Linked DNA regions of Ovis aries. Each later gene encodes a partner of the first gene's protein in a complex. Links are inferred from orthologs where the notes say so. Each region holds a gene or a part of one and is shown in the gene's direction. Other genes may lie near its edges. The genes, in order: COP1 and TRIB1.

What was found.
Region 2: the proteins of COP1 (region 1) and TRIB1 are in contact, whole or in part, in a crystal structure (PDB 5IGQ), measured with the Homo sapiens proteins. The link is inferred for Ovis aries from reciprocal best matches to the Homo sapiens genes COP1 and TRIB1. Residues at the interface, in NP_071902.2 of Homo sapiens: Ile423, Ser425, Val441, Lys472, Tyr491, Trp517, Asp534, Ala556, Asn557, Cys559, Ala576, Asp577, His578, Lys600, Ala601, Ser603, Thr618, Lys643, Asn644, Phe645, Phe699; in NP_079471.1 of Homo sapiens: Asp355, Gln356, Ile357, Val358, Pro359, Glu360, Tyr361.

The regions. Positions count from the first base shown.
Region 1 is NC_056065.1:56,630,223-56,634,046, reverse strand, and holds part of COP1 (E3 ubiquitin-protein ligase COP1), read left to right. Parts: intron 1-893; coding exon 894-1,002; intron 1,003-1,884; coding exon 1,885-1,966; intron 1,967-3,824. UniProt on the Homo sapiens protein: E3 ubiquitin-protein ligase that mediates ubiquitination and subsequent proteasomal degradation of target proteins.
Region 2 is NC_056062.1:27,809,335-27,812,719, reverse strand, and holds the end of TRIB1 (tribbles homolog 1), read left to right. Parts: intron 1-247; coding exon 248-713; 3' UTR 714-2,578; downstream 2,579-3,385. UniProt on the Homo sapiens protein: Adapter protein involved in protein degradation by interacting with COP1 ubiquitin ligase. The COP1-binding motif is masked by autoinhibitory interactions with the protein kinase domain.

The DNA.
Region 1 (3,824 bases):
CCCCAGCCTCTGTTATCTCCACCTACAGACATGTATTCCTCATGTGTCTCTGCCATGACATACGCGTGCCCCCCCAGCCTCTATTATCTCCACCTACAGACATGTATTCCTCATGTGTCTCTGCCATGACATATGTGTGTCCCCCCGGCCCCTGTATCTCCACCTACAGACATGTATTCCTCATGTGTCTCTGCCATGACATATGTGTGTCCCCCTGGCCCCTGTATCTCCACCTACAGACATGTATTCCTCATGTGTCTCTGCCGTGACATACGCGTGCCCCCCCAGCCTCTATTATCTCCACCTACAGACATGTATTCCTCATGTGTCTCCACCATGACATATGTGTGTCCCCCCGGCCCCTGTATCTCTACCTACAGACATGTATTCATCATGTGTCTCTGCCATGACATACGCGTGCCCCCCCAGCCTCTATTATCTCCACCTACAGACATGTATTCCTCATGTGTCTCCACCATGACATATGTGTGCCCCCCTGGCCTCTGTTATCTCTACCTACAGACATGTATTCCTCATGTGTCTCTGCCATGACATACGTGTGCCCCCCTGGCCTCTGTTATCTCCACCTACAGACATGTATTTTCATGTGTCAAGGATGGCCAGTAGCAACTTTAGGCACACCATATCTGTCTTCTAGCTGGTGATGAGAGTGAAGAGTGGTTATGGTTTGTGACTTGGTAGTTTCAATTGAATACTCTGGGAATTATTTGATGCCTTCTTCCTTGATGGATTGTGGGCAAAATAATTATTGTGAACTTATGTAGACCATTTTGAAAGGGTTCTAATCTTTTTGAACACGTCCAAATTCTTTGTATCCATTGCTATTTATTTTTATGTAAAATAAGGCTTAACTTAATATCCCTTTCTTTCAGCTGTATCAGTTGGAGTAGTTATCATAAGAACCTATTAGCCAGCAGTGATTATGAAGGCACCGTCATCCTATGGGATGGATTCACAGGACAGAGGTCAAAGGTCTATCAGGTAAATAAGAATACTAGTTACCTGTGGTTGTTGTTACTATTCAGTCGCTCAGTCGTGTCCAACTCTTTGCGATCCCATGGACTGCAGCACACCAGATTCCCTGTCCATCACTATCTCCAGAGTTTGTTCAAACTCATGTCCATTGAGTCGATGATGCCATCTGACAATCTTATCTTCTGTCATCCCGTTTGCCTTTTGCCCTCAATCTTTCCCAGCATCAGAGTCTTTTCCAGTGAGTCAGCTCTTTGCATCAGGTAGCCAAAATATTGGAGCTTGTTGCAAGAATCACATTTGTACTTTTTAATAATTATAGAGCTTCATGCATTTTATAATTACAAATTTAAAATCATTGTTTAGCATTTCCTCAGTTCCTCAGTTCAAATGGCAACCCACTACAGTATTCTTGCCTGGGGAATCCCAGGGACGGGGGAGCCTGGTGGGCTGCCGTCAGTGGGGTCGCACAGAGTCTGACACAACTGAAGTAACTTAGCAGCAGCAGCAGCAGCAGTTCCTCAGGTCAGCCGCTCATTTATATCTGACACTTTGCGACCCCATGGACTGCAGCACCCCAGGCTTCCCTGTCCATCACCAACTCCCAGAGCTTGCTCAAACTCATGTCCATCGAGTCAGGGATGCCATCCAACCGTCTACCTATGTAATTCCAGTAATGCTCTTTGCATTTGTAGGATGAATTTCCAAAAGTGGTAATTTTATAAATGTATATTTAAAAAGTTTATGGAGCTACTTTGCATCTCCTTTATTTTCATAGCCAGTTCTTTCTCCCTCCCACCATAGTGATAAATTGGTATCAGCTATGTTTATTTGTTTTGCTTTATTTAAGATCTATATTCTGAGACTACTTTGTCTTCCTTCTACATCTAGGAACATGAGAAGAGATGTTGGAGTGTTGACTTTAATTTGATGGATCCTAAACTCTTGGCTTCAGGTTCTGATGATGCAAAAGGTACTATTTGGGTCTCCCCCCCGAATTAATTCCTTTTAAAACCTAACAGAAATACACATATTTATTGAAACCCATAGTGATCCTTTGCGATTACTGATTATTCTAAAAATAGTCTAATAAGCACAAAAATCTTTATTTCTTGGAGTGAAAGAAAAATGAATATTCTGCATCTTCATTATAATAATTTTTTCTGAATTCATGCCTGTGATGTATTTATAACCAGTTCCTGTACATATACTGTGAAATGAACTTTTTTGTTGAAATATTTAGACATCACTGTATTCTGAATTGTATTAAATTCTGAGTGTATACCAAAATCTTTGAATGAAGTAAATCATGTTTCAAGGCAGAAATTCTATATTTCTTTCTGCCAATTTCATTGATCTTTCTATTTTTGTGTATGTGTGTGTGTGTGGTGTGTGTATCTGTCTTTACTGTTTGTTCTTTCCCGTTACTGTCTTCTTTTGGCCTGTTTTTTCTCAAGATTAGATTTATAAAGCCCTGTTAACAGATTTCTTTTATCTTGGCCCTCTCCTTCCTTTCCATCTGTAACTTGCAGACTAGTGAATAGATAGGCAGGGGTAGCTCTAGCGTTGGAAACTTTATTTCACAATGATTGTTGTTGTTGTTCAGTCTCTCAGTTGTGTCCGACCCTTTGCGACCCCTTGGCCTGCAGCACACGAGGCTTCCCTATGCTTCACCATCTCCTGGAGCTTGCCCAAACTCATGTCCATTGGGTTGGTGATGCCATCCAACCATCTCATTCTCAGTTGTCCCCTTCTCCTCCTGCCTTCAATCTTGCCCAGTAATCAGGGTCTTATCTAATGAGTCGGCTCTTCACATCATGTGGCCCAAGTACTGGAGCTTCAGCTTCAGCATGAGTCCTTCCATTGAATATTCAGGACTGATTTCCTTTAAGATTGACTAGTTTGATCTTGCAGCCCAAGAGACTCCCAGGAGTCTTCTCCAACACCACATTTCAAAAGCATCAATTCTTCAGCTCTGCTTTCTTTATGGTCCAACTCTCACATCCATACATGACTACTGGAAAAACCATAGCTTTTACTAGACAGACCTTTGTTGGCAAAGTAATCTCTCTGCTTTTTAATATGCTTTCTATGTTTGTCATAGCTTTTCTTTTAGGGAGCAAGGGTCTTTTAATTTCATGGCTGCAGTCACCATCTGCAGTGATTTGGGGGTCTGAGAAAATAAAAATCTGTCACTGTTTGCATTGTTTACCCATCTGTGACTGGATGCCATGATCTTTGTTTTGGGAGTGTTGAGTTTTAAGTCAGCTTTTTCACTCTCTTGTTTCACCTTCTTTAGTTCCTCTTCGCTTTCTGCCATAAGGATGGTGTCATCTGCATATCTGAGGTTATTGGTATTTCTCCCCGCAATCTTGATTCCAGCTTGTGCTTCATCAAACCCAGCATTTCACATGATGTATTCTGCATGTAAGTTAAATAAGTAGAGTGACAGTCTACAGCCTTGACGTACTCCTTTCCCAGTTTGGAACCAGTCCTTTGTTCTATGTCCGGTTTTAACTGTTGCTTCTTGACCTGCATACAGGTTTTTCAGAAGGCAGATGAGACGGTCTGGTAGTCCCATCTCTTTAAGAATTTTCCATGGTTTGTTCTGATCTACACAATCAAAGGCTTTAGCGTAGTCAATGAAGCAGAAGTAGATGTTTTTCTGCAATTCTCTTGCTTTTTCTGTGATCCAGCGGGTGTTGGCAATTTGATCTCTGGTTCCTCTGCCTCTTCTAAATCCAGCTTGAACATTTGGGAGTTCTCAGTTCAGGTACTATTGAAGCCTAGCATGGAGAATTTTGAGCATTACTTTTGCTAGCATGTGAAAT
Region 2 (3,385 bases), on another chromosome or scaffold:
TGCATCATACCCTCCACCCCAGGTGCTCTCTCAATAGTTTGCTAATTTTTATTGCAGTTTGTATTGGTTTGTGAAATCTGGAGTCTTCCTGGGTAGGTTGCAAGGCAGTGCTTACTGGATGAAGGGGTAACTGGCATTCCTTGGGCCTTTGCGTTGAGTGCCTGTGGGCCCTATTATTGGGAAGGAAGGCCTTGTTTTTCATAGCAGCTGGATCTGGAAGTAATGGCTTGTTTCATGTCTTCTACAGAACCCAGCTCAGACTGGAAAGTCTTGAAGATACACACATAATCAAGGGAGAAGATGATGCTTTGTCAGACAAACACGGCTGCCCAGCCTATGTGAGCCCTGAGATTCTGAACACCACGGGGACCTACTCCGGAAAGGCAGCGGACGTTTGGAGCCTTGGGGTTATGCTCTACACCCTTTTGGTGGGGCGCTACCCCTTCCATGACTCAGACCCCAGTGCCCTTTTCTCCAAAATCCGACGTGGACAGTTCTGCATTCCTGACCACATTTCTCCCAAAGCCAGGTGCCTCATTCGCAGCCTCCTGAGACGGGAGCCTTCGGAGAGACTCACTGCCCCAGAGATCTTACTCCATCCCTGGTTTGAGTCTGTCTTGGAACCTGGGTACGTCGACTCAGAAGTAGGAACTTCCGACCAGATTGTTCCAGAGTACCAGGAGGACAGTGACATCAGTTCCTTCTTCTGCTAATCCCCAAACCTCAGAAACCTCATAATTCTCACACATGGCATTTTCCATTTCTAAAGATGGACAGGCCTTTCGGCGTGAGGCCAAACAGACAGGTGATGGCGTGGAGACTGTGGGTGCTGAATTCAGCATGGCGCCCCTTCTTTCTCATCTTCTGGATGCGTGACTGAGGAGGTGAGCAGCGTACACTCTGATTGGCTGCCCTACAGAGTTGTTTTCCTCAGTGAACCTTCGCCAACTATCCCTTTGTTGGATTTTGGGGGGTTCCACCTCTTTTCTGGGTGGCACGGAGTATAAATATCCTGCAGCGTGTGATGGAGTGAAATGAACTTGAACACTCTAAAGGGAGAGGAAATGAATCACACAATGGCATTTTGGGCAATAACTATATTTTTAACAGGGTGACAGATTACCTGGGCCAATAAACCTGCCATCTTCAAACTGGTCCTTGGTAGCCAGGCTTTTGCTACCCCCAGCTTCTCTGATTGGAAAATTGTTTTTTCCTGGTTTGGTTTAACACTCGCCCTTTCTTCATGTTTTTGGAGCAGACTGTTTTCAGGGGCGTAGAAGCTTGCCTGAATCATGAACCCAGAATCATCTCTCCTCTGTGTCCTGCCAAGACCCCATTTGCACTAAAGCCTTCTTTCTGACCTTGAAATGAGCCCCTTCCTCTTTCACTATAAAAGCACTTACCAGCTAATGGTGGAAGAGTATCACAAAAGATTCAAGCTCCTGGCTGTTTCAGAACTCTGAGCTCAGACAGAGAGACTGGAGACTTTTAAAAAGAATTTGAGCACTTGGAAACCATTAGCTGTTTTGGTTCCCCTCAAATATGTTCGCATTTATCCTTTCCTTTTTTCCCCCAAGACCATCTCAGGGTGGAGCATTTTGTCTAGGAGAAGAAAGAAAAGATTCCTCTCTCCCAAGAGCAAGTTTTTGTGCTTCAGAGAAAGTAAATTTTGGATAGTCTTAGACGGCTCTCAGACTAACTTCCAGAATTAGTCTTTAACCACCCCCATGGGTCTGGTCTGCAGTTTTGCATGACAGGTTGTTAATATTTCATCTGTGGTGTGGTTTATGAATGCATCTGTTTCGTCGGTATGTGGAGTGAAATAGCAAGCCCCAAATCTTTAAGGTCGGAAGGGACTTTAAAAGGCATCTAGTCCAACTTCTTTCCTTTCTCTACCACCTCCCAATGTAGAAATCCCCATACCCCACCATACCCCCCAAATTCTTTCACAGGTGGGACTCCAACCTCTGTTTGAATGCTTCCAGAGATGGGAACTCACTACCTACGGAAGATAGAACTTAGAAACTGCCACTTGCATTAAAAAAACAGATGAAATATCAGTAAATGTCTCAGACAGTACTGAAATCCGGTGGTTAAACGGGTAAACCAAACATACTGTATTCTGAGAAATGGCACAAAAGCAGGCAGTCACCTTTAAGGGCTACGCCTTAGGCAAACTACTAACATGCATTGTGAGAATACCGTGTATACCTCACGTACTGTGTGCTCTGTACATACAATGTACCTTTTCTACATTCGTTGTCGTTTTCACTCTGACACTTGTTCGTCGTCTGTGTCTGTCTGAATAACCTGCGTGTCTAAGACCACGTGAAATGTGAATGATCATTGGCAATATTACCTTGACAGAATCATGGGACTTGGAGAAGGAGGACAGAGACCTCTGTCGCACTAACGCTCTCGTGGTTGCTTGAATGTTGTATCTGTGATACATGACCCGGCTAAGGACTCTGGGTTTGCTGGGGCTTGGAAACACTAGACCCTTCCTGTACATGTGTATATATGTTGAGACGGCCATTTCCGACTTGTAGAGAGATTTTAATAAATCTGGTTTCGTAAATAGGTGCAGTGACTTCTTTGGAGTCCAGTCCCCCGTTACCTGGTGTAGTTTCATGCTGTGGATGCAAAGGTCGCTGGCTTCGGGCCTGGAATCTCAATGGGGAGATGAAGAAGTAAACAGCTGATGATTATATATGACCTTTGACAAAGCTGAACCCATTCACTTTTTCCATTGAAGTAGACAAATTCATTTTGATGGGTGAGACCAATTTGGTGAATCAGGCTGATGAGGGCTGAGTTGAATTTAAGAGTTGAGAAACATTTGAGGAGGCACATAGATGAAAAAGTCTTGAGTTGTAAGAATCCCTCTGGCTTATGGTCTTTCACAGACCCTTGAGAATTTGATGAAAACTATGGACGCTTCTCAGAAAAACATCCATGTGTATCCAACTTGTAATTTCAGAGGTCCACATCCATCCCTGAAGGTATCACCAGGCCTCCTGTTGAGAGCCCAACTCCACCCTTTCCTCCCCCATTAGACTTAATTAAATTAGTTGAGGCCTTTTTTTTTTCTTTCTGTAAATGTAAAAGTGGAACTAATAGGAAAGCTAAAAGCAACATTATTTTGAATCACAAATACAGAAATTGGAATTGATTAGGTATAAAACTTCACTATGACAACAAAATCTAAATGAAGTCAGTTGGCATCCAGAGTGATTTTTTAAAAGTTTGTAAAGTGTAACACATACAGAAAACACAGGAGTGGGTGGCTCTGAATTTTCACAAACCAAACATACTGGTCTAACCTGAAGTCAGGTCAAGAAAAAAGAAACATGGCTAGGACCCCAGAATCTCCCTCCTACCCTCT